Macaca fascicularis: one gene and its partners. The protein of the gene in region 3 interacts with the protein of the main gene of each other region in a pairwise test. Links are inferred from orthologs where the notes say so. Each region holds a gene or a part of one and is shown on either strand. Other genes may lie near its edges. The genes, in order: KXD1, TNNT1, TPM3, SYCE1 and LURAP1.

Region 1 (5,610 bases), on a different chromosome or scaffold from region 3:
CTTCATTTTATCACCAGTGTGGGCCCCGGGTAGGGGCGGGCAAGACAAGAATGTTGGCCAGCCCGTGGATTCCTTCCCACACTCACATCCCCCAGCCGCCACTCACATGTTCTTCTGGGCCAGGATGATGGCGTTGACATCATCTGTGTTCACCATGCTCAGGATGCGGCCGCAGAAGACCCTCGAGGCCGAGTCCGGGAGGTCCATCTCTTCCTCCTCCTCCGCTGCCTGAAACAGGCAAGAACAGAGTGGTCTGCACCAGTCACCAGGTGAGGTGGGACCAAGAGGCCAGGCTGGGACCCCCATGTGCTGGAATCTAACCCAACCGTGGTGGTATCCTACAGTGGGGATGTGTGACTGTGGTTCAGTCATGCCACCTGAACCTCAGGTGTGCCAGCCCAGGAATTTGGAGGTATTGGGCAAACTAAGAGAGGTTGTATTTGTAAACTGTACCCAAGCACATTAGAATCCCATCACCTCCCACTTCCATGAGCCCAAGGCCACAGGCACCTCTCATCTGCACAGATCTGCCAGCTTCCTCCCTCATCCCCCATCACACACCTGCTGTCCTCACAAGCTGAACGTGTGTGGCTGCCTCAGCAAATCATCACCACCTCCAATGTCTCCTCTCCCAAGAGGTCAGGGACCGCTATTCCGGTCACTCGTACTGCTTCTCTTACTACTTGACCTTGCTTTTTTATTTCTTTTTGATACGGAGTTCCACTCCTGTTGCCCAGGCTGGAGCGCAATGGCGCGATCTCAGCTCACCGCAACCTCCGCCTCCTGGGTTCAAGCGATTCGCCTGCCTCACCCTCCCGAGTAGCTGGGATTACAGGTGCCTGCCATGACACCTGGCTAATTTTTGTAGTTTTTAGTAGGGACGAGATTTCACCATGTTGGCCAGGCTGGTCTTGAACTCCTGACTTCAGGCGATACACCCGCCTCAGCCTCCCTGACTGCTGGGATTACAGGCATGAGCCACCGCACCCAGCCTACTTTACCTTGTTTTTGTTTGTTCATTAAGAGACAGGATCTCGCTATGCTGCCTAGGCAGCTCTTAAATTCCTAGGCTGACACAACCCTCTTGCCTTGGTCTCCCAAAGTGCTAGGATTACAGGCATGAGCCACCGCATCCAGCCACACTTTACCTTGATTTAATTGCTTCACTGGTTCACATCTTCATGAAATTATCCTAGTCATCAGCTAACCCATTTGCCTGTCACCCCCACAACAATGTCAGCTCCAAAAAAGCAGAGGTGGCCGGGTACGGTGGCTCTCGCCTGTAATTCTAGCACTCTGGGAGGCCGAGGCAGGTGGATCACGTGAGGTCAGGAGTTCAAGACCAGCCTGGCCAACATAGTGAAACCCCGTCTCTACTGAAAATATAAAAATTAGCCAGGCATGGTGGCAGGCACCTGTACTCCCAGCTACTCGGGAGCCTGAGGCAGGGGAATCGCTTGAACCCGGAATGCAGAGGTTGTGGTGAGCCAAAATTGCGCCACTTCACTCCAGCCTGGGCAACAGATTCTGTCTCAAAAAAAAAAAAAAGGAAGAGGCGTGTCTGTCACCAGAGCCTGACCCGGAACCTGGTTCATAGCAAGGGACTGCCAGAATGTCACAATGTTGTTGTGGGGAAGGGCAACAGAACTTTTCAAACTCAGCTCTGACATGATGCTTTTTTAAATTTAATTTTTTTTTTTTTGGAGACAGAGTCTCGCTCTGTCGCCCAGGCTGGAGTGCAGTGGTGCGATCTCGGCTCACTGCAAGCTCTGCCTCCCGGGTTCACGCCATTCTCCTGCCTCAGCCTCCCGAGTAGCTGGGACTACAGGTGCCCGCCACCACGCCTGGCTAATTTTTTGTATTTTTAGTAGAGACAGGGTTTCACCATGTTAGCCAGGATGGTCTGGATCTGCTGACCTCGTGATCCGCCTGCCTCGGCCTCCCAAAGTGCTGAGATTACATGACATGACACTTTTATTAGCAAACTAAAGCCAAGAATTGCAGGCACTCACAGCCAATCCGTGGGCCCCAGTAACCCAGATGGTTCTGAGGTTCCCAGTTTTACTGGCACACGGATGACTGTAATGGCAGGCAGGGACTTCCAGAAGCAACCAGGGGAGGAGGGGCTACTGCACTAACCCTCCTAGGGAGTTCAGGAAAAATCTAGGATCTTGATATAGTTTGCCTCTGAGGCCCACACATTTAATAGCCAAGAAACAGAGAAACCTACTTCTACTGGATCAGAAAAGGTTTCAGAGGCCGGGCGTGGTGGCTCACGTCTGTAATCCCAGCACTTTCGGAGGCCGAGGTGGGCAGACTACTTGAGGTCAGGAGTTCAAGACCAGCCTGGACAACATGGTGAAACCTCCATCTCTACTAAAAATACAAAAATTATCCAGGCATGATGGCGGGCACCTGTAGTCCCAGCTACTCAGGAGGCTGAGGCAGAATTGCTTGAACCCAGGTGGCAGAGGTTGCAATGAGCCAAGATCAAGCCACTGCATTCTAGTGTGGGCGACAGAGGGAGACTCCATCTCAACTTAAAAAAAAAGAAGCCGGGCGCGGTGGCTCAAGCCTGTAATCCCAGCACTTTGGGAGGCTGAGACGGGCGGATCACAAGGTCAGGAGATCGAGACCATCCTTGCTAACATGGTGAAACCCCGTCTCTATTAAAAAATACAAAAAACTAGCCAGGCGAGGTGGCGGGCGCCTGTAGTCCCAGCTACTCGGGAGGCTGAGGCAGGAGAATGGCGTGAACCCGAAAGGCGGAGCTTGCAGTGAGCCGAGATCCGGCCACTGCACTCCAGCCTGGGCGACATAGCGAGGCTCCGTCTCAAAATAAATAAATAACTAAATAAAATAAAATAGAAAGAAAGACACCTGGAGAGGGAGGTCCATAGCTAGTGCCAGAGAGGCACAGTATTGGGACCTTCTAGGATACACTCCTGCTTCAAAACAGGACTCTTTTCTGTCTCTGGCTCCCAGATGTGAGGGCTGGGGGGTTCCTGGCACTTCCCTCCCGTCCCCCAGCAACTTCCTCTCACAAGAAGCCTTCTCTGATTACTGCTAGTCTGCTCCACATACACAGTGAAATTGACCCAGCAAAAGCTCTGATCCCAACTCCAAATATAGATTTATTGAAGAAACGCAGAGAGGTAGGCTGTTTGACCATGGGAGAGCCACTTCACCCTTCTGAATCAGTTTTTTTCAACCATAAAACGGGAATAAGGTAGAATGACGATCTCACAGTGCTGTCTGTGGCAACTGAAACCAAAGGTGATAATGAGGGGAGTTCAGGACAGGCTGTTTCTCCAAGAGGAGTGTGAAGAAGTCCCGGGACAGGGTCCGGGAATCAGCATTTTGACAGCATCCCAGGGGTCTCTAAGAACATATTACGGGCAAACACTTGTAGAGCACTTCAGTTAATCCTCAATCACTGTTACGAGGCAAACACAATCATCTCCGAGTGAAACTGAGGCTCACAGGGGCGGGCTCAGTTGCCAAAACTCACATGGAGAGACAGAGAAGCACCACGGTTCTATATCCAGGTTATTTAACAGAATTTAACTCAGCCATCCAAGCTCTGAAAAACCCCAAGTGGGGAGGGGCTCAAATACCCCCCTCACGCCCCGTCCCCTACAATACGGGGAAACTGAGGCACAGACCGGGCAACGCCCAGCTCCAGGTTACACGACACACCCAGAACACAGGCGGGCCCAATTTCTATGCCCCTGATCCGGATCCAGATCCAGCCCGCGGCGCCGCCTGCGTATCCATTGAGCAGACGGGGAAACTGATGCCTGTGCGCAGCAGGAATGACCAGATGTGGCCAGCGGCGCACCCCATCCCACCGCAGCCCGGGGGCCGCGCCCGACCCGGACCGGTTCCCCGAGGCCCTGGAGTCCCCAGCCCCACCCCAAACTCGGCCCCGGCGTCGGTAGCGGCGGCACCTGCACATCTGGCGGCCTTGCTCGCGCTTCCGGGATGGCGCCCGCGCCGGCGCAACGTCACCACGCACCGATCGTGCGAGCGCGCGTGGCGGCGGCGTACCCTGGAGCCGCTTGCGTGCGTGGAGTCACGACAGGAAAAGGCGGGGCTTAGGCGGGGCTTAGACGGAGCTGCAGCTCGCGGGCGCGTCACAATGAATAGCCAATCAAACAGTTCGTCTCGCGCCTGCGTATTTCCAGAAGCCCAGACTTCAAAGCAGCCCGAAAGAAGGAAGGCTGAGAAGTGTCCCATTTTTATAGATGGTGTGACTGACTGGCGTCCCAGAGCGGTAACCCTCCCCAAGGTCGTAAATGCTTCAGTGGTCAGCGACCAAACCACACTCAGGTGTCCTGCTTTCCAGGCAGGGAATCAGACTCATCTGTGTTCAGACAAACCTGCTCCACTTTTGCTGATTTTAGTCTTAAATTTCCTTTTTTTCCCCAGGCAGAGTTAAGCTCTTGTTGCCGAGGCTGGAGTACAATGGCGCGATCTTGGCCCACCGCAACCTCCGCTTCCCAGGTTCAAGCGATTCGCCTACCTCAGCCTTCCCGAGCAGCTGGAATTACAGGCATGCGCTACCATGCCCGGCTAATTTTGTGTTTTTAGTAGAGACAGGGTTTCTCCATGTTGGTCAGGCTAGTCCTGAACTCCCGACTTCAGGTGATACGCCCGCCTCGGCCTCCCAAAGTGCTGGAATTACAGGCGTGAGCCACCGCGCCCAATCCTGGTTTCCATTTACACTTCCACGTTGTTTTGGAGGAATGCGCTGGGGAATTTTTTAAAAAGGGTTTACAGGCTGGGCGCAGTGGCTCACATCCCGTAATTGTAACCCGAGCAGTTTGGGAGGCCGAGGCGGGCGGATCACGAGATCAGGAGTTCGAGATCAACCTGACCAATATGGTGAAACCTCGTCTGTACTAAAAATAAAATAAAAAAAAAGTCGGGCGTGGTGGCGAGAGCCTGTAATCCCAGCTACTCAGGAGGCTGAGACAGGAGAATCGCTTGAACCCGGGAGGCAGAGGTTGCAGTGAGCCAAGATCGCACCACTGCACTCCAGCTTGGGCGATAGAGCAAGACCATGTCTCAAAAAAAAGAAGGACAAACTAAAAAATGAAGAAAATGGGCCGGGCGCGGTGGCTCACACCTGTAATGCCAACACTTTGGGAGGCCGAGGTGGGCAGATCATGAGGTCAGGAGATGGAGACCATCCTGGCTAACACGGTGAAACCCCGTCTCCACTAAAAATACAAAAAAATTAGGCGGGCGTGGTGGCCGGCGCCTGTAGTCCCAGCTACTCTGGAGGCTGAGGCAGGAGAATGGCGTGAACCCAGGAGGCGGAGGTGGCAGTGAGCCGAGATGGTGCCACTGCACTCCAGCCTGGGCAACAGTGAGACTTTGTCTCAAAAAAAAAAAAAAAAAAAGGAAGAAAATGTATGATGAATTTTAAGTTCATACTGATTTGTGTATACGAGTACCAGATTTCTGTAATAAAATGCCTCACAGCTACAACTGGGGGAAAAAAAAAAAATTGGGCCAGTGGCCCGAGCCTGTGGTCCCAGCTACTCAAGAGGCTGAGGTGGGAGGATCTTTTGAGGCCAGGAGGCAGAAGTTGCAGTGAGCCAA
Region 2 (5,956 bases), on a different chromosome or scaffold from region 3:
AGGGCGGGCGAGGGCCCGAGGGCTGAGCTGCCCCTTCCCCGCCAGGGTGACACAAGCCTCGCCTCCCGTCCCAAGAGTTCCTGGGGGTGTCTCCATCCCAAGGGGCCGGCCCACTCCCTACTCACCTTCCGGCTGCTCCCTGCGGACGGGTGTGGGGAAAGAGGGAGGGGAGAGTTAGACCTGGGGTGGGAGAGCCTCTCCACCATTGCACGCCCCAACCCCTCCCAGTGCGGCACTCACTCCTCATATTCCTGCTCCTCGGTGTCCGACATCCTGGTGCGGCCTAAGAAACAGAGAGAAGAGGCCCAGTGGGGTGGGGCCCCAAGGAGGGGGCGACCTAGACTCCTGGGTCTGAGGGAGGAGGGGCTGGGGGCTGGACTCCTGGGTCTGGACTCCTGGGTCTGAGGGAGGAGGGGCTGGGGGTCTGGACTCCTGGGTCTGGACTCCTGGGTCTGAGGGAGGAGGGGCTGGGGGCTGGACTCCTGGGTCAGAGAGGAGGAGCTGCAGCCTGGACTCCTGGGTCTGGACTCCTCGGTCTGAGGGAGGAGGAGCTGGGGGCCTGGACTCCTGGGTCTGGACTCCTGGGTCTGAGGGAGGAGGAGCTGGGGCCTGGACTCCTGGGTCTGGACTCCTGGGTCTGGACTCGTGGGTCTGAGGCAGGAGGAGCTGGGGCCTGGACACCTAGGTCTGAGGGAGGAGGGGATGGAGGCTTGGACTCTTGGATCTGAGGGAGGAGGGGCCAGGGGCCTGGACTCCTGGGTCTGAGGGAGGAGGGCTGGGGGCTGGACTCCTGGGTCTGAGGGAGGAGGGGCCAGGGGCCTGGACTCCTGGGTCTGAGGGAGGAGGGGCCGGGGGCCTGGACTCCTGGGTCTGAGGGAGGAGGGCTGGGGGCTGGACTCCTGGGTCTGAGGGAGGAGGGGCTGGGGGCCTGGACGCCTGGGTCTGAGGGAGGAGGGGCTGGGGGCTGGACTCCTGGGTCTGAGGGAGGAGGGGCTGGGGGCTGGACTCCTGGGTCAGAGAGGAGGAGCTGCAGCCTGGACTTCTGGGTCTGGACTCCTGGGTCTGAGGGAGGAGGAGCTGGGGGCTTGGATTCCTGGGTCTGGACTCCGGGGTCTGAGGGAGGAGGAGCTGGGGGCCTGGACTCCTGGGTCTGGACTCCTGGGTCTGAGGGAGGAGGGGCTGGGGGCTGGACTCCTGGGTCTGGACTCCTGGGTCTGAGGGAGGAGGGGCTGGGGGTCTGGACTCCTGGGTCTGAGGGAGGAGGGGCTGGGGGCTGGACTCCTGGGTCAGAGAGGAGGAGCTGCAGCCTGGACTCCTGGGTCTGGACTCCTGGGTCTGAGGGAGGAGGAGCTGGGGGCCTGGATTCCTGGGTCTGGACTCCGGGGTCTGAGGGAGGAGGAGCTGGGGGCCTGGATTCCTGAGTCTGGACTCCCGGGTCTGAGGGAGGAGGAGCTGGGGGCCTGGACTCCTGGTTCTGGACTCCTGGGTCTGAGGGAGGAGGAGCTGGGGCCTGGACTCCTGGGTCTGGACTCCTGGGTCTGGACTCGTGGGTCTGAGGCAGGAGGAGCTGGGGCCTGGACACCTGGGTCTGAGGGAGGAGGGGATGGAGGCTTGGACTCCTGGTTCTGAGGGAGGAGGGGCCAGGGGCTGGACACCTGGGCCTGAAGGAGGAAGGGCTGGGGGTCTGGACTCCTGAGTCTGAGGGAGGAGAGGCCAGGGGCTGGACTCCTGGGTCTGAGGGAGCAGGGGCTGGGGTCTGGAATCCTGGGTCTGAGGGAGGAGGAGCTGGGGCCTGGATTCCTGGATCTAAGGGAGGAGGGACTGGGAGTCTGGACTCCTGGGTCTGAGGGAGGAGGGACTGGGAGTCTGGACTCCTGGGTCTGAGGGAGGAGGGACTGGGAGTCTGGACTCCTGGGTCTGAGGGAGGAGGGGCTGGGAGTCTGGACTCCTGGGTCTGAGGGAGGAGGGACTGGGAGTCTGGACTCCTGGGTCTGAGGGAGGAGGGGCTGGGGGTCTCGACTCCTGGGTCTGAGGGAGGAGGGGCTGGGGGTCTCGACTCCTGGGTCTGAGGGAGGAGGGGCTGGGAGTCTGGACTCCTGGGTCTGAGGGAGGAGGGGCTGGGGACCTGGACTCCTGCGTCTGAGGGAGGAGGGCTCAGGTCTGGACTCCTGGGTCCGAGGGAGGGGGCTGGCTGTCCTAAAGCACGCATGAGGACAGACCTTGGTAGATGTGGTCCTGGCACAGCCAGGAGGCTGCAGACCCTGCCCCCTCCACACAGCTGTCCTCTTTTGTCTTATGACAAGTCCATGGGAACCTGATCCAGCTGGGATTAGGAGGAGGCATTTGAGAAGGGACAGTGGCCTGAAGACAATAGCTGCCCCACACCCAGGAGCTATTTCGGGGGGATGTCATAGATGGTGAGACAGAGGACATTTCCTAAGAAGGGATTTGAGGAAGGGGGGCTTCTGGGAGAATTAGTCACCCTCATCCCCTCTCCCACTCACCCCTCCCCGCTGGCTGGCTTCCTCCCCACCTGTCTCCCCTTTCACCTTCCCATACATCATGCAGGGGGCAGGAGCATAAAGGGCACCTTCTGTCCACAGACCTCACCCGGACCCCTATATTCTTGGACCTCAAAGTCTTTGAGATTCCCTAGGCCACGGGGTGCCTAGCCCCAAATCCCAATACCCACAGATTCTGAGACCCCAATCTGTGATGCCCATGTTTCTGAGACCAGCGAGTCCTCACAGCTGTTCTTGATAGTCCAGATATGGGCCGGGACATCTTAAGACCACCCCCAGGTCTTGGGACCTAAATTCTGAAACCTCAAGAATATGAGACCCCCAAAATCTTGATACCTAACCTCGGAGGCCCAATTCATGATACCCAGATAATGACAGTCCAAGTTCTCGTGCTTTCTATCATAATACCTCAGATTCCGAGGCCTCCACTCCTAAAACCCCAGATTGTGAGACCCACCCCCAATTCCTGATACCCTCAGAGTCTGAGGCCCCAAATCCTGACACCCAGACTGTTTGACCTCCAAGTCCAGATATCCCTGACTGCTGAGATTTCCCCCAGATTCCCAGAACCCCAAGATCCTAGGAGGTTTTGTTCTGGGACACCCAAGTCCTGGCAGCCCCGGGTTCGGATCTGTGTGACCCACAAATCCCAGTATTTTCCCCTCTATCCTGAGTCCCCCTGAAGTCTGAGCCTCTCAAGTTCCCAGACTTCCAGTTGTCTGCCCCACCTACCTCTGCACCATTTCTCCACACCCCACATCTTCCCCACCCACCTCCTGCCCCCTCCCGCAAGGACACAGTCTTTGGAGACCACAGGGCCCCACAGAGCCCCTTACCTAGGCTGTGTCTGAGATGCTGGGAAGCTCGTGGCTGAGCCTTGCTGAGGGCACTGAAGCTACCGGGAGTTTATAGCTGGCCCTGGGAGGCTTGGCCCCGCCCCGAAGGGAGAGGGAGGGGGAGAGAATTCCATTGCTCAAACACAAGTCTGGGAGCTCAGAGACAGCCCCGCTGCCCCTGGCTCCACACTCAGAGTCCAAAAGCCTCCGCGGGCCCCTCCCCAACCCCATGCTAACCCCATCTGCACGGCCCAGGAGCCCCGCTCCCGCCCCCACCCCACCCCCAGGTCTCATGGTGCTGCAGCTACCTCCCTTACAGCTCCCTGTGCTTTGACGTCCCCACGCCCGGCCCACAGTAGGTCCTTGGAGGACCTACTAATGACAAATGGGCTATAAGGAATGTTTTCTGTTTTCTTCTCTCCGTTCCCTCTTTCTACCATGGTCTCTTTCTGGACCCCCGTTTCTGTTGTGTCTGTGGCTCTCCATCTGTGTATCTCTGTGTGTCTGTCTCCACTTCTTAGTCTCCCCCTCTGTCTCTGTCCATCTTTCTGTCTCCCCCTCCCCACCCCCACCCTTTTGTCTGCCACCAGGATTCCATCCTGGTGACAACAGGCACTAAAGCCGGGAAGCAGGTGTGGGGAGAGGGAGGGAGAGGGGGTGTCAATTAGGGTGAAACCTCCCCTCCCTCCCCACCTTCATCTAACACTGATCTTTTTGGTGTCCCCCTCGCGCTTCCTAGCCAAGCCATGACCTTGAGTTCTGGGTTCAAGCCGGCCCTGGAGAGCAGGCCTCCTCCCCTCCCCGCCTCTCAGTACCTCTCAGTACCTCTCAGTACCTCTGCCTCTCGTGGTCCGTCTCTGTGTTTCTGTGCTTTTCCTGGGGCCTCTTGCTGGGGTCTGTCTTGGGCTCTCTCTGCATCTGTCTCTTTCTGGGTCCCTCAGTGTGTTTCTTGGCATGTGTCTCTAGGTGGTTTTGTCTCTGCATTTCTGTGGGTGTCTCTGCATGTCTGCCCCTCTCAGCGTTTGTGTCCGTGGAGGCTCACAGTTTCTCTGTGCATTTCTGTCCACCTGTGACCCCATTTCTGTCTCTTTTTGGCTCTGGGTCTCTGTGTCCATGTTCACGTCTCTGTCTTTCTAGTTCTCTCCATGTCTTAGTGCCCGCAGTTCCCGCTCTGTGGCTCTCCATTTCCCTCTCTTATAGGGTCTCCACGTCTCCGCACCTTGCTGTGATTATACCTCTGTCTCTCTTTTCTCCTTTCTTTGCACTTCCTTCTATGCATCCATGGTATTTTCTCCCTCTCTCTTTGGGTCTTTGTCTGGCTCCTTCTCTCTCTACTCCCAACTCAGTCCCTCTGTTGCCAGTATGTCTCTCTGCCTATCTGTTTCTCTGTGTGTCTCTCTCTTTGAGCTTTAATCTTGGCATCTCTGTGCACTCCACATGGGCCAGAGGTGCTGTGACAATAGAGATCAGAAGACTGATGGAATGAACTGTTTGTGGCAATAAGATACCAAATTATAAACAAGACCTGAGGCCATGCCAGGCAAGGGTTAAGTCACGCATCCCTACACTTATATAATAAACTATGTTCTAATTGCCACAAGGCTTTTCCTTTTTCTAGCAGCTAAACAAACACTGGCCTCAAGATATGCAATATTACAACAATTGCAGCCATCCATTGCCAGATGCTGACTAACTGAACCCCCTGTTCCACAACGCATAGCTACAGCATTAGTTGAATGAGAGACTGATTTCAGTAACTTTCTCCTGATAAGATACCACGGACCACAGACTGGTTCTGACTTTTGACAGAGGCTGTGCACTGGGTGCCTTCATATGCCTGCTTCATGTTTCCATACGAATGCATTCAATGGGATGCACTTAAATATTAAGCCTCCACCACCATGTAAAATGCATATTTGTCGTCAGTCACAATGGCTCACGCCTGTAATCCCAGCACTTTAGGAGGCCGAGGCTGGTGAATCACGAGGTCAGGAGTTCGAGACCAGCCTGGTCAACATGGTGAAACCCCGTCTCTACTAAAAATACAAAAATTAGCTGGGCCTGGTGGTGCATGCCTGTAATCCCAGCTACTGGAGAGGTTGAGGCAGGAGAATGGCTTGAACCCAGGAGGTGGCGGTTGCAGTGAGCTGACATTGTGCCACTGCACTCCAGCCTGGGTGACAGAGCAAGACTCCATTTCAAAAAAAAAAAAAAATGCATGTTTGCTTGTCACACATGTGTGTGTCCACCTGTCCATGAATATTCATAGCTCCTTCTATAACCAGTTGAATACGTGCACGTAGCCAACCCACTCAGCGTAAATTCCTGCCTTGCCCTTCCCTCCCTTAAAGTGCCTGCTTCTGTTTTTTGGCAAGAAGCCACGCTTCCAGTTTGCAGGTTGTGATCTGCTTCTTAAGAAACAAAGCTCCCCTCTCCAAATTCATGAACCCTGGAATTCTTTTTGATAACAGAGCCAAGAGTGCTCCACATGGGAGATCCATCTGGTCCCCGACCTGCTGTGTGACTTTGGGGGAGCCCTGCCCTCAGTTTTCCCATCTCTCTCCTGCCTAAGCCCTGGGTAATAGACATGGAGTCACT
Region 3 (5,165 bases):
CTGAGAAATGTGGCTTCTTTTCAGGGTTAGTGGGAAAGATACAAAGAGGCAGATTAGCATCAAGGATCAGGGATCCACAGCAAACAGATGAAGTCCCAACAACTCGTTTTGGTGCTGTTTATCACTTGGCTTGCTTCTGGGACCCAGCTCAATTTTTAGGTGAATTTGGTATTTCCCATCTTGGGTAGTTCCCTGAACTTTAATATCGGGGAACCAATTAAACACACCCAGGAGGCCTGAATTTTATTTTAATGTGTCAGGGCCCAAGTCCCTGGCTCTGTGGGCCCTATTTCCTTAGTTGTATGGATTCTACCTCTAGCAGTATTCCTTCTGAGAAGACTAAATTTGAGAAGCAAATAGAAAAATCACAGCATAATGAAAAAACTATGAATACAAAACATAAAAATTACAAGTCAGTCAGGGTTCTCCTTCTGATCCAAGATTAATTGCCTCCAGAGCTTTTTTTTCTTAGACAGTCTCACTCTTTAACCCAGACTGGACTGCAGTGGCATCATCTCGGCTCACTGCAATCTCCATCTCCTGGTTTCAAGCGAGTCTCCTGCCTTAGCCTCCCGAGTAGCTGGGATTATAGACGTGCGCCACCATGCCGGCTAACTTTTTAAATATTTTTTAGTAGAGACAGGGTTTCGCCATGTTGGTCAGGCTGGTCTTGAACTCCTGGCCTCAAGTCATCCGCCCACCTCGGCCTCCCAAAGTGTTGGGATTACAGGTGTGAGCCACTATGCCCGGCCTTTAATGTTTTTTTTGTTTTTGTTTTTGTTTTTGTTTTTTGAGATGGGGTCTCATTCTGTTGCCCAGGCTGGAGTGCAGTGGCACGATCTTGGCTCACTACAACCTCTGCCTCCCAGGTTCAAGCAATTCTCCTGGCTCAGCCTCCTGAGTAGCTGGGATTACAGGCGCACTGCACCACGCCTGGCTAATTTTTATATTTTTAGTAGAGACGGGTTTTCACCATATTGGCCAGGATGGTCTCCAACTCCTGACCTTAAGTGATCCACCCGCCTGAGCCTCCCGAAGTGCTGGGATTACAGGCGTGAGCCACCACCCCCGGCCATGCCTCCAGAGCTTTTGCCAAACAAATAACCAGCACCAATGTTTCAAAGATAAGGGTGGAGATTATAGTTTCCAAAGGATAAAACCAAAGCACACCACTATGCATAGCTTGTGCCCCCATCCACCCACAAGCCAAGATCCCAGCCCCACTCTGCTGTCAGATAGTTACATAGAGGTCATGTCATTGAGGGCGTGGTCCAGTTCCTCGCTAATGGCTTTGTACTTCAGTTTCTGGGCATAGAGCTCATCTGGACAGGCACAGGAACCACAGGGAGGAATGAGGGGACAGAGTGAAAGGTTTCAGAAGCAGATGAAGAGAGGGAATCATTAGAAATTAGGAAAGTGTGACTGTGGGTCTAATACCACAGTTAGGAAAACATCTACTCTGGCAACCATGACTGGACATTTTCAGATCTACTCTCTCCCATGACCAACTGCCTTTCTTGATACTCCTAATCGACTGCAGCAAGGGCTGAGAACCTGGGCACAGTCATAACTAGAAATTCCTATTACCAAAAGCACTCAAGAGGATACCACTCCCATTCAGGTACCCAATTCCTAGCAGTGGAAACACTTAATTGAACAAAAATAACAAAGGGAGATAGCATACATCCATATTCAGACACTTCTCTACCTATAAAATGTGAGCCCTATTAGCGGCCCCTCTGCTTCACAGGTTGCCCCTGCAACTCTGCCAAGAGAGCATACCAAAGGAGCATACATCAGAGTTCTCAAAGCAAAGAGTACGTCCCCTTGTCAGCGTGGATGGCAGTTACCAACTTACAGGGACAGAAAGTATTTAGAAAGCTCCTGACAGTGGTCAGTGTTCAGATGTGGTTACTCCACAACTTCATTTCTTGGATAAATACCCCACAACTTGAGTGGTGAAAAGAACTGTGGAAAGTAGCCATGAAATGACCTGCACCTTGCCCTTCTGAAATCATGGCTTCCGTTTAAACCCACAGACTAAAGGTTTAAGACTACTAAATTGGAGATTAATGCAGCCATTATCATTCTCCTCAAAGGGAAGGGTACAAATTGCAGACTATTTGGTGAAGTCTTCTTAAAGGAAAAGATTACATTTGAAAAACCAATTCTAGGGTTTGACCCACTTTGCCTAGCTGTGGCATAGGACAGTGCACGTATTAATACATGCCAAGTCATACCAACTTCCTTTGGTATACAGAAGAAGAGATTAATAGTTAATGGGCAAGGTCTTCCTCTACATTTCTCTATTTCAATCCCTACTCAAGGTTCCATACCTTCCAAGTCATCAATTGTCTTTTCCAGCTTGGCTACCGATCTCTCAGCAAACTCAGCACGGGTCTCTGCCTGGGGGAAATATGAAATTAGTCAGAATCAGAGATGAAGACAAAGAAGAACAATCTCTATTTCTTCCACCTTCTACTTCTGGACCTTTCAGAACCCAAACCAGCCAGTCTAAGTCCACATTAATGTCTTATATACCTCTAAATGTTTTGGGTCCTGCCCTATAATCCCCTCAGCTCACCTCCTTGAGTTTATCAGTAAGAATCTTGATCTCTTCCTCATATTTGTCTTCTTTTTGAGAGTACTGTAAGATAAGTAGATTAAAAATTTCAGAGTAGAAATCAATCACACAAGCAATACCCACCTCCCTACACTTAACTCTTACATTGAATATCCTCTTGGACTAAATGTGCTGAATGGTCCAAGAGTAAGAGCAAGGCCTGGCTCTGGAAAACAGGTCCTTGAAATCCAGAAATCTGTCTTTAGAGCCATGAGATCCTCAGGTTAAAATTCTCCATGACTTTTTAAGATGGATCTAAGCTTTGATATTATTCAGATCAACCCAAGGAGGTGTTTTTCCTTTCCCCTGCTTAATGAGCAAGAGTAGTGGCACCCCAAGGTCACATGACTAAAACACACCCACATGATGGCAAAGTGAAGTCATCTGTCTTGATTGCTCATTAGGTCTCAGAGCTGATTCTGTCTGTTGCCCCCATCTGTCTGCCAGAAAGCCTGTTAGGGCCCCTGATTATTGCTTTTCAGCACAGCAGTATCAGCCTGAGGAGCACATGACTCCAGTAACCTGAGACCATGAAGTTATTTTAATTAAAGCAATCAAAGTGCACAGAAAGTAGCATTAAACCCAGAACCTGAATACATGGTAAGGAGGTAGGAAAAGGACACGCCTCACTGAATTATATATGGAATGGGTGTCTCCAGTCTTTCATCAAGGGCAGGGCTGGGCCCAGGCCCCAAAGCCTGTCACTTTCACAAACCAGCCCCTACCTTCTCCGCCTGAGCCTCAAGAGACTTGAGGTTGTTGGTGACATTCTTCAGCTCCTCCTCCAGCTCAGAACACTTACTGTGAATATTTTAAATACCACAGGAGAGGAAAAGGGAAAAGGAAGAGAATAAAAAAAGGGAGAGAGACACACAGACGTGAATTGAACCTATATGTAGAGAGAGTTGGAAGGCATACTGGGGAAGAGATGTTCCCAAGTAACCTGAGCAAGCATCAACCCTCCTCCCTCTACCATAGAACGTGTCAGGAGCTAGACCTTCCTGGGCTCAAAATGTTTGAATACTAATAAAGCACTTGAGAGAAATCCACTACCAGGAATGAGTCATAACTGCTACCTGGGGTGGAGGTGGGAACAAATGCCCAACCCAAACAGTCCCCCAAATCACCCAAAGGAAGGAGACCCTGCGGAGAGGCAGTAAAGCAACTAGGAAAGAAGAGATGAAAGATGCCAAGTAAGTGGAAAAGAATGGAGCATTCCATGAAGAGATGAGACAGCACTCAACAAAATCAAGTGGAGGGGAGGCAGCTGCAAAACAAAAACAAAACAAAACAAAACCACACCATATATATAACCTTGCTGTGGGTTTAATGGTTAGTACCTTTTCTTCAGCAGCACTCAGACACTTCAGGTTCTGGTCCATCAGTCTAATCTGCTCATCCATCTCTCGGCAACGGCTGTTAGTGATAGTCACGGGGATGGCACAAGCCAGGTTGTGGGGAGGGAGAACGGTCAAAAAGGAACACAGCAAGAAAACAAGCAGCAAAACGAAAAAAAAAAATTCAAAAAATGGGAAGAGAACACCACCATGGTCATGATATGTTATGTCTGGCAGACGGGAATGTAAGAGGGAAGCACAAATATATATGCATCAGCACTGACTTTGTTAATCAAGGCCGAGAAGGTACCAACAGGGGAGCAGTTAGTATCTACCCTTGCCCTAAAGTTCCCCAGCAGATTGGCAAAGTGGCAAAAACAGACACCAGATTTATTTTTTTTTAATTTTGTTTGTTTTAGGGACAGGGTCTCCCTGTGATGCCCAGGCTGGCCTCCAACTCCTGGGTTCAAGCAATCCTCCTGCCTTGGCATCCTAAGTAGCTGGGACTACAGGTGTGAGCCACCACACCCAGCCAGACACCAGATCTTAAATCAGGATAGCCACTTTGATGTCTTCCACCCCAGGTGGAAGGACCCAGTAGGATCTTCCAGTTAACTGTTCACCATGTATTAGTCCTTATTTGCTCTCAATTTGTAAAACCTACCAACAAAAAATAAGAAAGCCTCTTTTGTCACTTGTCACTAGTCAGGAGAATAAGGAAGTCTACAACCATTCTTGGGCCTAAAAAAGCACTATAGATGACTCCCATTTCCTAGGCCCTGTTTAACAAGGTTGAAGGAATGCTAATTTATTCATATTAGTGCCCAAGCCAAAGGGGAAGGGACAAATTGGTATGACAAGATTTGGGGAGCTAGATACTTACGACTCTGCCAGCTCAGCTCGTTCCTCTGTGCGTTCCAAGTCTCCTTCAATGATCACCAACTTACGAGCCACCTACAGGAAAAGATCCCAGTATAGCTTAGTGAAGCAAAGGAGCCATTTACCACATTATTCTTTGTAAAAGGCTGAGAGAGGGACTAACAGAAAGTCACTTACCTCTTCATACTTCCTATCTGCCTCTTCTGCAATGTGCTTAGCTTCTTTGAGTTGGATTTCCTGGAGTTCCATCTTTTCTTCATCTTTTAAGGCCCGGTTTTCAATAACCTTCATACCTCTGCCAGAAACAGGACAAAAGCAATACTGAC
Region 4 (5,810 bases), on a different chromosome or scaffold from region 3:
ACCCTAACACCTAATGTCAAACATGAACCCTTAATCCTAACACTAACCCCTAAACCTAAACCCTAACCCTAACCGATACTCCAATCCCAAGGAAAAGCACTAAACCCCTAATCCGAAACCTTAAGCCTAAACCCTAAACCTAACCCACAAACCTGAGCCCAGGCCCCAACACTAACGTTAACCTCTAAGCCCCAACCCTAACCCAACCCCAACACAAACCCCTAACCCCTAATTCTAACCCTACCGGGCATGGACTTTGGGCGCTGGACCCACGCGCAGCCCCCGCTTCTGTCTCGTACTGGGCGGCGCCCTCAGCACCCTGGGGCTGCTACGGCCCTAGGCCTGGCTGGGCTCAGGGGCGACATCTGGCCCCCAGCCCGCCCCGCCTAACCTGACCCCTTACCCTTAAATCCAACCCTAACCCATGACCCAACACCTGAACCCTAACCCTAACCTCAACCCATAACCTCAACCCCTACCCCTAACCCTAAACTCTAGCTGCAGCCCGAGCCCGAATCCTAATGCTACCATAAACCTAACCCCCGAACCCAAACTTGAACCCAACCCCTACCCCTAAAACCCTAAGCTAAACTGAAACCACAAACCCTAACCCCTAACCCTACTGCTACCCCTAACCCCTAACCCCTGAAGCTAAACCTAACCATAACAACGCTAAACTTAAGCACTAACCTAGCCCTACCCCTACACTAAGCCTTAACCCAACTGTAACTCCTAACACTAACCCTAACCTTTAAACCTAACCCCTTACCCTAAACCGTAACCCCTAACCCTAACCCCAAAACCAACACCTAACCCTAACACCTACTCTAAAACACTAACCTCTAACCCTAACAATCCTTAGCCTAACACCCAAACCCTAACCCCTAACCCTGACCCTAATCTTCTATCCTCGAAACCCTAACCCCAAACCCTAACCCTAACATCCTAACCCCAACCCTAAAACCCTGATCCTAACCATTAAACCCTGACCCTAACGATTAAACCCTGACCCTAAATGCTACCCCTACCCCAACCCTCGACCAACCCTAACCCTACCCCTAATCCTTCCCCATCCCTAACGCTAACCCCAAACCCTAACCCCACCCCAACCCTAAAACGAACTTCTAACCCCTAAACCCTAACCCAAACCCTAACTCTACCCCAACTCTAACCTTTATCCCTAACTCTAACCTGTAGCCCTAACCCAAAACCCTAAGGTAACCTTTTATAGGTTGGGATTCGAGGCTTTGTATTTAGGACGGGCGGGTGTTCTGGTGTCTCCCACTCACCCGCACGGGAAGTTCTTCTGTTGGTTCTTCACAACCAGTCACGGTGCATCGCAGCCTCCCCTGGCCGGTGAAGGGCTGGTTCTCCCGAAAGCCTCGGCTCCTCCTCCCTCCTCCCAGTGCCCTCCAGGCCTCCCCGGTGGCCCCAGCGTGGCAGGGCCCGTGCAGAAGGGACCGTGGGCTTGTGGCCGGCATGGGCCGCTGTGGGCATGGAGCTCACGGGAACGCGGCCTAGGGGCAGGCTGCGCTCCTCTGCGCCAGCGGGAACAGCGGGCCCCGCGGGGGCTGCCACAGACGCGTCACTTGCTGGGGTCCGTGCACTCCCGCGGTGGCGTGGCCAAGCAGAGCCGCGACCCCGTGAGGTTGCCGGGGCCATGGCGCCTCGTGGAGTCGTCCGTGAGACACGCACATTTCACAGGCAGTTGCTGCGTGGCACACGCGCACTGGTCGCTCGTGGTGAGGGCCTCCAGAACCAGGGCCGGCCCCCCTCGGAGGCCAGCACACATGCGCGGGAGCACCCAGAACCGGGCCAATCGCGAGCCTGGACGGCCGGACGTGGCCCTCGCGGGCTTTGTAACCCTCGGGCCTTTACGCATGCGCACTAGCTGCCAGGCAGGCCGGCCGAACATTACTTCACATATCCAGAGCGCGCGCGGGGGTGCATTGCGCAGGCGCGCTGCCTGGAGTCCCGCCCCCTGCAGGGGTTGCTCCAATCACCACTGGAGGCTTCCTCCCAAGCCACCCGCGCTGCTGAGCTGAGAGGAAATGGCGGGGAGGTCCCTGGCGTCGAAGGCCGAGCCCACCGCCGGAGCCATGGACGGGGCTGAGAAGGCCGAAGGTAGTGGAGGGAGGCAGGGAACTGTGCGTGAGGGTCTGACCTCGCCGAGGCGGGGCAGGGTTGGGGCGCGGGTGGCGACTACTTCCTGTCAGTCCTGATGGTGCTGACTGAGACTTAGCGGGTTTCTTCAGAAAACTTTCCGCCAAGATGAGGGAGTGCTGGCCCGCACACCCCTCACTTCGTCTTAAAGCATTGAACCTTTATCGTGGTTGCTCCAATTTTGGTTTAGGTAATTAGTCAAAAGACATCCTGTCGTTCCACAGACTTTTCATACACACCTCTTAAAACAAAAAGGACATTTTCCTGACGCTCCCAATCCCAAGGGAATTCCTAATTCCACACTCCTCTTTCTAGAACCAGCAAGTGTCCAGATTTCCCGGTCGCACTAACCTGGTTCTTGACAGTGGGTTCCCCCACCCAGCATCCCGACGCCCCGGGGAGCCGGGGGAGGCCGACTCCCCGCAGATCTCCCGTTTGTTTCTCCCCGACCCCGACCTGCCGTAGAGGCTCCTACCTCACCCTGGGAAGGGAGGGACAAGGCAGCTGGTCAGAGTTGTACAGAAGTCCCGAAATTGCAGCCCAACAAAGAGAAAGAACACTGTCCTGGCCGTTTCCACTTCAGGACGCTGTGTACCTCTGGGTGTTTTGGGAGAATTTTCAAACTTACACAAAAGTGGAGAGAATTGTACGGTGACGTCCCTCCTGCTGTCACTCAACTTGTCACTCTGTCCTGAGCTCATGTGTCCCCCCTGAGTTAAAACGCTGCAATTAACAAACGCCACGGTGGCTGCCTCCAGCCCTACCTGCGTGAATATCATGGCAGGTGCTCTGTCGTGTTCTTACAAAATGAAGGTTTGAATACTGAAACAAGCTTGGCACAGAAAGCATCCCTACAGTGAGATGTGGCACAGTGAAAGCCCCAGTGAAGGACAAAGCAAGTAAACAGGACAGACGCAAACGTATCCCTTTCATTAAGCACCTACTGGCCCGCCACTGTGGTAGCCTTTCAGTATCACAGCTCCATGTTCCTCACATAACCTAGTATATTTAGATAAGGTTTAACCAACGTTGCTTGTGCCTTCGTTCAAACTGCTACAACAGAAATGCCATTATTTCTCACAGTTTTCGAGGCTAGAAGTTCAAGATCAAGGTGCAATGCAGCGTCTGGTGGGGGCCTGCTTCCTGGTTGTAGACTTCTGTCTTCTCATTTTGTCCTCATATGGGGGAAGTTGCTGCCGGCCTCTCTGGTTTTATAAGGGCACTAATCCCATTGCTGAGGGCCCTACTCTCATGACCTAATCACCTCCCAAAGGCCCCACCTCCTAATGCAGTCACACTAAGGGATTAGGATTTCAACATACGAATTATGGATGGGGGCACAAACATTCAGTCTATAGTGACCAGCTACAGAAGAAAGTTAAAGGACAAGATTCCAGTTTTAGTCGGGATGTTATCTAGGATCAGTGACACTAGATACATTTTAGTAAAAGGTCTGTTAGTCTCCATCTAACTGGCTGCAGTTATTACTATAAAGGGGAATGACTGGGGAAAACGAATGTTTGTGTTTCAATTTTTTCTTCATGCTTTTTCACACATGCCAATTACTTGAATAATGTAAAACTTAATTCATAAATTTATGAGCAGTGATTTGTGTAAGATTTCGGGTGGGACCAAAATGAGGGGACTCCATAAACTCAAAAATAAGCATTTCACAAAACTCTATGCTTGATTTTTTTTTTTTTTTTTTTTTTTTTTTTTTTTTTTTGAGACAAGATTGTGCTCTGTTGCTCAGGCGGGAGTGCAGTGTTACAATCACTGCTCACTGCAGCCTTGACTTCCTGGCCTCAAGCAATTCTCCCACCTTAGCCTCTTAAGTAGCTGCAATCACAGGTGCATGTCACCACTCCCAGATAATATTTTTAAATTTGTTATTTGTAGAAATGGGGTTTTGCTGCATTGCTCAGGCTGCTCTTGAACTCCTATGCTCAAGCAGTCCTCCTGCCTCAGCCTCCCAAAAGTGCTGGGATTATGGATGTGAACTACTGAGCCTGGCCTTATGCATGTATCCATGATTTTTAATGGCTGTAAATGATTTATCCTGTGTATGTGCTATAATTTATTTAACAAATTCCCTAAGACATATTTAGGCTTCTTCCAGTTTTTTACTATTATAAACAATATAGTGATGAACACCTTGCGCATTATCCATATCAGAATTACTTAGGACATAGTCTTAGAAAAGAAGATGCACCCAAACTTTTGATATTTACTATCAGAGAGTTTGTAAGGAGACACCTTGATTTTGCATATCTGGTTGACAAAGATGAACACATTTGGAAACACAGGTGGTTGGTAAAAATGAAAAACTGGGCATCTTGTATACATCAGTGGAGGGTAATTTGGTAATGTCGATCAAAATTGTGACAAACTTTGGTCAGGTGCCTCTGAGCCTTCTCAACCATGCCTCGGCCTTGGCCTGTGATATGGTTTGAATCTGTGTCCTCACCCAAATCTCATGTTGAATTGTAATCCCCAGTGTTGAAGGTGGGGCCTGGTGGGAGGTGGTCGGATCACAGGAGACCAGTTTTATTTAGATAGTGACCACCTATCTTTTAACTGGATCTCTGAGCTCTGGGAAGAGGCCACACTGAATCATGGGTGTCCAAAAAGGGAGAATTATTATGAGGCTAGACCACATGGATGCTTTAACAGTGCACTTAAGAAACATTTTTTTTAAAAAATTTCTAAGTGTCTAAAATATACTCTTCCTTAAAAACGCAAGAGTAGCTTCTGTTGCAATAATTAGTAAAAAGAAAAAAAATATATATATATATATCAGGTAACACAGTACAAAAGCAAGCAGTTTAAGAGCTGAGATGAATTTGTCTGTTTACACTCTTGGGAATGCATAAGGAAAAGCAGTTTTCTCCGCAAATGGGAGTCTGATGCCTTCTCCATTTTCTTTAAGGAACCTCATGCTATTATAAACTGTTTTAGGTCCCTCATGCAGCAGAGGGTGCAAGAGAAAGGAGAGACAGCAGAACTAAATGAAGAAAATAGCCTTCAGTCAACTGAGAAGAAAAAAAAAATTTTGCTCAAAAAACACAAGGACCTAGGAGAGAGAAAAAAGAAAAATCATGAAAGCCTTTTAAACACACACACACACAGAGACACACACATATCTTGGATGTTAGCTTTTAATTAAGCTGACTTTTAAGCTTTTGAGTTTCTTTCAAATTTTTTTTCTAAATCTCTTCAACATATTTCAGCTAGGACGAATAGCTGCTATTTCAGAAGTACCAAGTATCAAACCAGAAAGGTCTTGATTTAGGAACCAAACCCAGGCTGTTACGGAAAAAAAGAAGACAGAACCTCAGCTATGGAACTGCAGTGTGGGTGACAATCATTTCTCTTTCAGTTTGGCCTGGCTAGCAAAAAGATGGCCTTGTTATGTAAATGAAACCACTTAAGTAGTCAAAATCAAAAATCTTCTCCCCCTTTTTTACTTTTACTGGCCGTTTTTTCTTCCCCCACCACCACTTTTCTGATGGGAATTTAGCCACTTCAGAGGCCTTGTTCCACATAATTTGGAACTTTCCTTTGGATTTGATCAAGTCAGATAGAATTGGCCAAACCCAATGGGAAAAGGACCAAAACAGCAAAAACAGAAAGAAACAACAAAAAAA
Region 5 (5,614 bases), about 81 Mb from region 3:
AGCCTGGCCAACATGGCAAAATCCCGTCTCTACTAAAAATACAAAAGTTAGCTGGGTGTGGTGGCACATGCCCATAGTCCCAGCTACTCAGGAGGTTGAGGCAGGAGAATTGCTTGAGCTTGGAAGGCAGAGGTTGCAGTGAACCGACATTGTGCCACTGCATTCCAGCCTGGATGATGGGAGTGAAACCCTGTGTCAAAAAAAAAAAAAAAAAAAAAAAAAGGACTCAGCCAGACAAAGAGGTAGAGAGAAGCATGTCAAGCAGAGGAAACGGCCTGTGCCTCCTTCCAGTCTGAAGTCGCCTTTCCAGAGCACAAACCCAACCGCATCACTCTACCGTCAAGACTCTTCCAGGAGGCCCTTCCTGGGTTCTACCATCTCTTATCATCCTGTACTAGAAATGTTCTTCTGTCTCTCTCCTTCCCTAACCAGACTGTGAGCTCCCTGAGAGCAGATCCTGCTCAATCCATTTCTGGTGCTCGGCCTAGGGCTAAGGAGGTCACATTCAGTTCTGTGATTCTCTTGCCTTTACTATCCTTGACCCCTTTGATGGTTCCCAGGATTCAGGGGTCTGGGTTGTACTGTGTTGCTGGGAAATGAATCTGAGAGCAGATTCTATAATCCTGTGACAGTGGGATTCCCTGACTGTGACAGCATCACTCCCAGAATAGAAGAAAGCAAGGCTTTCTTGCCAGAAAAAGAAACACTCTTTTCACACGATCTCTTGAAGAAAATAGAGTATAGGATAAACAGCTCAGGAGAGAGGCAGCCTCAGAGGCAACTCCAAACCCAATTCTCTTTCCAAGGAGATTCAGGCTCCCTACTCCTCTCCTTAACATCTACATATCAGACTCTGCCCAGCGCTGGGGTTCTGTATGGTTTCCTCATTGCTCAATCCAAATCAGGCCCTGGGGTAAAAGCCTGGAAATCCTAGTTGGAGCTCCTAGAGCAGGGACTATCAGAATATTGTTACTACAAAGGTTCTTACGATCATCTGGTTCCACAGTCCCCATCTCCCTCTACTCCCTCCACCAAGAGGAAGAAAAACTGAGGCCAGGAGAGAGAAAGAGTACTGCTCAAGACCACAAAACGTTTCAGAAGCAGAGCCAAGACTTGAACCCGTGCCTTCTTCCTCGCCTAAAGCTTCTTCTCAGACTGCCTCTGTGGAGGTGGGTTGTCATAGCAACAGTTCTTTGGGTGGGAGAACTAAGAAGAGGTTGCCACTGTTTCCCATTCCCACATATCCCAGTCTGGCTTGTTCACTCAACCTTTGAATGGTGGGTAGAGGAAGAAAGCAGGAGGGATGAGGCCTAGAGGCGGACTGACCTTGGCCTCAAGGGTAGGCCTCCCCACTTTGTGCAAGGAAAGCTGGGAGAGGAACAATTGAAGGACAGTCCTTAGAGGGCTTGAACCAGTCCTGCCTTCATTAGCCCCAAGGGAAACCCCTTGCCCCACTGCTTGTCCTTCCTGGGTGCAACCCAGTAGGCAGGGCAGAGCACAGGAAGAGATTAATATTAATAACATCCTGTCCTGAGGAGGGAGAAAAATAGGATGGGGATCTCTCCTCGTTCTGGCCCCAGAAGGCTCCCTCCCTTGTGCCCTTTCTCGGGCAGCCTCAGGCCCCAGGCAAGCAGGGTCAAGAATACAGAGAGACAAAATCAAAAGTTAAATGCAGCCCCTTAAAGTTTACAGATCGTTTCCACCAAGGCAGAAAAGAGAGCCAGAGAGACTAGGCGTGGCTCTTCCACTGACTCCCTATGTGAGTTCAGAATCTGCAAGCATGTTTTATCTGTAAGATGGGAGAAATGATGACCAGTTTTCTCATTTCAATGACATAAAATGTGTTTAGACTATCTGGCACAAAGCAGGTCTCAAAGGTAAACATGCAAAGTGCAGTCAGATGATCTGGGTTCAAATCATGGCCATGCTTTTTGTGTGATCTTGGGCAGTTATTAAACTCCCTGTGCCTCTGTTTTCTTTTCTCTTTTCTTTTATCCTCCCTCCCTCCCTTCCTCCCTTCTTCCCTTCCTTCCCTCCTTCCCTCTCTTTTTTTGAGACAGGGTCTAGCTCTGAGCTCTGTCACCCAGTCTGGAGTGCAGTGGTGCGATTTCAGCTCACTGCAACCTCCTCTTCCTGGGCTCAAGTGATCCCCCTGCCTCTGCCTCCAGAGTAGCTGGGACTACAGGCATGCACCACAACACCCATCTAATTTTTGCAGAGACAGAGTCTTGCTTTGTTGCCCAGGCTGGTCTCAAACTCCTGGGCTCAAGTGATCTGCCTGCCTCAGCCTCCCAAAGTGCTGGGATTACAGGCGTGAGCCACCATGCCCACCCTGTGCCTCAGTTTCTTCATCTATAAAATATCACTTACTTAACATGGTTACTGTGGAGATGAAGAGAGTATCAAGTAAAGTGCTCAGCAAGCTGCCTGGCACATGTGCTGGGTGAAAGTTAGTTTTCAAAGCAACTAGACAGTCTAGGTAGGCTCTTACTAGGCCTTGAGCTAAAGTTTGTACAGCGAGACAAAGGCAAACCCCTGCTTAGGTGGGGACAGTCACAGCCTTGCTCTGGAGAATTTGGCACTCACCTCCAACCTTCAAGGCCAAGTGCACACTTGGCATTCAAGTCCTTCTCCCAGAGGGCCTTTCCTGGCTGCTCCACCCACCAGACTCTCTTCCCAGTCTCTCAGCTCAGGCATTAGAGCCCTGGCTGGTCTAAGAGCCCCCATGACTTCCTTCCCCTGCTCCTTCACAGACCAGCTTGGCACAGGCTGCGCACACAGTGGGGGTCCAGAAAGACTTATTAGCTGACATATTCACTGTGGGCTCCTGGTTGTAAGCCAGGAAGCTGATAGCAATTCCTCAGTTCCCCAGAACTGGCTGCAAAGTAGTGGCAGGTGTAAATCACCCACTTCACCGGAATCAGGGCCCTGAGGAACATGCCAGGGCCTTGGCTGCCCTTTTGGCTCTGAATCTAGACCAGCAGCAACAGAGAAACGGGAAGGTTGCTGTTTCCTCTTCTCCCCAAGAATGTGCAGATGAGATCCAAATATCCAGTTTACCTGGGAGATTGGATGGGAGGAGACTGAGTCTGAGGTGAGGGAATCAGCACCAATGGTGCTGTTACTCTCTGTTCCTGCTATGGGTCTAGGAACTTTCCATTATTTTAAGTAGGGCTGGGGGATGTAGAGGAAATGGAGAAGGTTTTCAGTGCCCCTGGTCCAGACAGTTTACAGCAGATAGGCCCCTTTACCCACATCTTTTCTGTGCTGAACACTGCGGGCCTCACAGGAACTAAACCCTTTCCCGGTTAGCAGAAGGAGAAAAAACCGGTTGCCTTACAACGGGGACTGGGGGGGAATAGGTGGCCCATACGGGCGGGGGGAATTTGTGCTGCGTTGGGTTCTCAGTACTTCCCAGTACTCATCTCTCTCCTCCCAATTATTTGGCAGGAATAACTTCCAAAACCCACGGCTCCCACCCCAATTCCTCAGGACCTATCAACACCCCCACTCACTCTTGGGGGACAATTAATGGATGTCACTCCATCTCCACCCCAGCGTTTACGGATTGATCTGGGAGGGATTCTGAGCAGTTAGGTGGAGAGTTTTAACTACCTCCTCTCCAGCTTAACTCTGAGAGCATGAGTTCGTCCCTCCTGGCCCTAAACTGGGGACTCGTCCCCTTGGCCCATGGAGTCTGCACTCACCAGCTCCATCTTCAGCGCCATGATCTTGTCCCCCAAGTCGTGGCCGGTGCTAGGCGTCCCTGGGAGCAGCAGGGCGCCAGAGGTTCCTAGGTCACACTCGCCTCGCAGCCCACGGAGCAGCCCTTCAGGGGTCTTCCTGCCCACCTTACCCTCCACATCCCGCAGGTCAGGCGTCTGGGACTCCACGGTTCCCTCCATGCGGGCCCAAGCCTGAAAAGGGCTGGGCAACCGGACGCCAGGGACCGGCTCGCGGGGGTCCTCCCTTCGCCGCTGCTAAAGCGGAGCAAAACCGGTGGGTCCCCGCCCGAGAGCCGCGCGGGCGGCAGGAGGGTGCCGTAACACTCAGAAAAGCCGCGCAGCACTGTCCGTGGGTATATTCGAGTGCTGCGCACACAACCTCCGGCCCTGGATTGCGTGGGGCTGGGCGGTTCTGGAGTTGGACCTGAAAGAGCACTCGGAGACCTCAGCGCCTTCGCCCCACCCTGGCACTGAATCCAGCCAGGCACACAGCAGGCGCCCAATACATGTTTGCAGAATGAAGTCTAAGCAGCTTCAGTCAGAGATGTGGGAGTTTAAGGAACAGTGGTAACAGAGAGCTGCAGAAGGCTTGGAAGTCTTCCTGGAGCAGAGGAATTGGGTCTAAAACGATGGCTGGATTTTAGTCAGACACACACACAACACCCCAGGGGCTAGAATTCAGACTAATGGAGTAGAAAGGGGCAACCAGTATTGAAGCTGAAGAGGTCCACATTGAGCTTACAAGCAAGATCCTCCTCCTTAAACTTGACTGTGCATATGAATTATCTGCGGATCGTATTAAAATGCAGTTCTGATTTTGTAAATCGGGGTGGGGCCTGAGATCCTGCCTTTTTTTTTTTTTTTTTTTTTTTGAGACAGAGTCTTGCTCTGTTGCCCAGGATGGAGTGCAGTGGCACGATCTCGGCTCACTGCAAACCACTGCCTTCCCCGGTTCCAGCGATTCTCCTGCCTCTGCCTCCTGAGTAGCTGGGATTACAGGCATGCACCGCCACGCCCAGCTAATATTTTTGTATTTTTAGTAGAGACGGGGTTTCACCATGTTGGCCAGGCTGGTCTTGAACTCCAGATCTCAAGTGATCTGCCTGTCTCGGCTTCCCAAAGTACTGGGATTACAGGTGTGAGCCACTGGGCCCCGCCAAGATCCTGCATTTCTAATAAGCTCCCAGGTCATGGCCATGCTGCTGGTCCACGCTTCAAGTAATAAGGGACCACACTTTGATAACAAGGTTACAGAAGATGGTTCTGAGATGTTTGGGTTTTATTTAACAGGTAATGAACAGTCATGAAAACTTTGGTTTGTGTAGGCTTGTAATTCAAGTAATTCCAGCCCGTGGTTGCAGAAGGATTTACAATGAGAAGATAGTTACCCCTGCCCTACCCTTTCACACCTCTAGGCCCACTCCCAATTGGCAAAAAGTAACTTTTAGTTTTTGGGGGGTTTTTTGTTTTTTGTTTTTTTTGGTGTTCATACCCGTAATGTTATTGTTTAGAGTTAACTAAAAGTGATTGCCAACTGGGAGTGGGCCTAGAGGTGTGAAAGGGTAGGGTAGGAGTAAATATTTTCTTATTGTAAATCCTACCACTCCTTTTTTTTTTTTTTCTTTCTTAGAGACAGAGTCTTCCTGTGTTGCCCAGGCTGGACTCAACTCCTGGGCTCAAGCAATCCTCCTGCCTGCCAAGCAACTGTGACTACAGGAGTATGCCACCATGCCCAGCCACACTGCTTCTCAATTTTAAACATTCAACTGCTGTTTATTATCATATTCAGATAAATATGGATATATGGGTTTAACTCACACTCTGTAGTTCGTTTCCCCTACTGGCACTATTTATTTCTCTCTTTTTTTTTTTTTTTTGTCACCCAGGCT

Evidence for each region.
Region 1: the proteins of TPM3 (region 3) and KXD1 interact in binary tests that used the Homo sapiens proteins (3 or more experiments, as listed by UniProt). The two-hybrid records come from large-scale screens. The link is inferred for Macaca fascicularis from reciprocal best matches to the Homo sapiens genes TPM3 and KXD1.
Region 2: the proteins of TPM3 (region 3) and TNNT1 interact in binary tests that used the Homo sapiens proteins (3 or more experiments, as listed by UniProt). The two-hybrid records come from large-scale screens. The link is inferred for Macaca fascicularis from reciprocal best matches to the Homo sapiens genes TPM3 and TNNT1.
Region 4: the proteins of TPM3 (region 3) and SYCE1 interact in binary tests that used the Homo sapiens proteins (3 or more experiments, as listed by UniProt). The two-hybrid records come from large-scale screens. The link is inferred for Macaca fascicularis from reciprocal best matches to the Homo sapiens genes TPM3 and SYCE1.
Region 5: the proteins of TPM3 (region 3) and LURAP1 interact in binary tests that used the Homo sapiens proteins (3 or more experiments, as listed by UniProt). The two-hybrid records come from large-scale screens. The link is inferred for Macaca fascicularis from reciprocal best matches to the Homo sapiens genes TPM3 and LURAP1.

What each region holds. Positions count from the first base shown.
Region 1 is NC_088393.1:18,951,161-18,956,770, reverse strand, and holds the start of KXD1 (kxDL motif-containing protein 1), read right to left. Parts: upstream 3,996-5,610; 5' UTR 3,512-3,995; intron 229-3,511; 5' UTR 208-228; coding exon 107-207; intron 1-106.
Region 2 is NC_088393.1:63,018,747-63,024,702, forward strand, and holds the start of TNNT1 (troponin T, slow skeletal muscle), read right to left. Parts: upstream 3,405-5,956; 5' UTR 3,359-3,404; intron 2,270-3,358; exon of another isoform or gene 2,220-2,269; intron 284-2,219; 5' UTR 273-283; coding exon 241-272; intron 140-240; coding exon 126-139; intron 1-125. UniProt on the Homo sapiens protein: Troponin T is the tropomyosin-binding subunit of troponin, the thin filament regulatory complex which confers calcium-sensitivity to striated muscle actomyosin ATPase activity.
Region 3 is NC_088375.1:106,992,274-106,997,438, reverse strand, and holds part of TPM3 (tropomyosin alpha-3 chain), read right to left. Parts: intron 5,135-5,165; coding exon 5,017-5,134; intron 4,915-5,016; coding exon 4,844-4,914; intron 4,040-4,843; coding exon 3,964-4,039; exon of another isoform or gene 3,425-3,963; coding exon of another isoform or gene 3,349-3,424; intron 2,648-3,348; coding exon 2,585-2,647; intron 2,407-2,584; coding exon 2,337-2,406; intron 1,323-2,336; coding exon 1,244-1,322; intron 1-1,243. UniProt on the Homo sapiens protein: Binds to actin filaments in muscle and non-muscle cells. Plays a central role, in association with the troponin complex, in the calcium dependent regulation of vertebrate striated muscle contraction.
Region 4 is NC_088383.1:142,661,276-142,667,085, reverse strand, and holds the start of SYCE1 (synaptonemal complex central element protein 1), read left to right. Parts: upstream 1-2,026; 5' UTR 2,027-2,051; coding exon 2,052-2,124; intron 2,125-5,810. UniProt on the Homo sapiens protein: Major component of the transverse central element of synaptonemal complexes (SCS), formed between homologous chromosomes during meiotic prophase. Requires SYCP1 in order to be incorporated into the central element.
Region 5 is NC_088375.1:188,481,339-188,486,952, forward strand, and holds the start of LURAP1 (leucine rich adaptor protein 1), read right to left. Parts: upstream 3,999-5,614; 5' UTR 3,906-3,998; coding exon 3,708-3,905; intron 1-3,707. UniProt on the Homo sapiens protein: Acts as an activator of the canonical NF-kappa-B pathway and drive the production of pro-inflammatory cytokines. Promotes the antigen (Ag)-presenting and priming function of dendritic cells via the canonical NF-kappa-B pathway.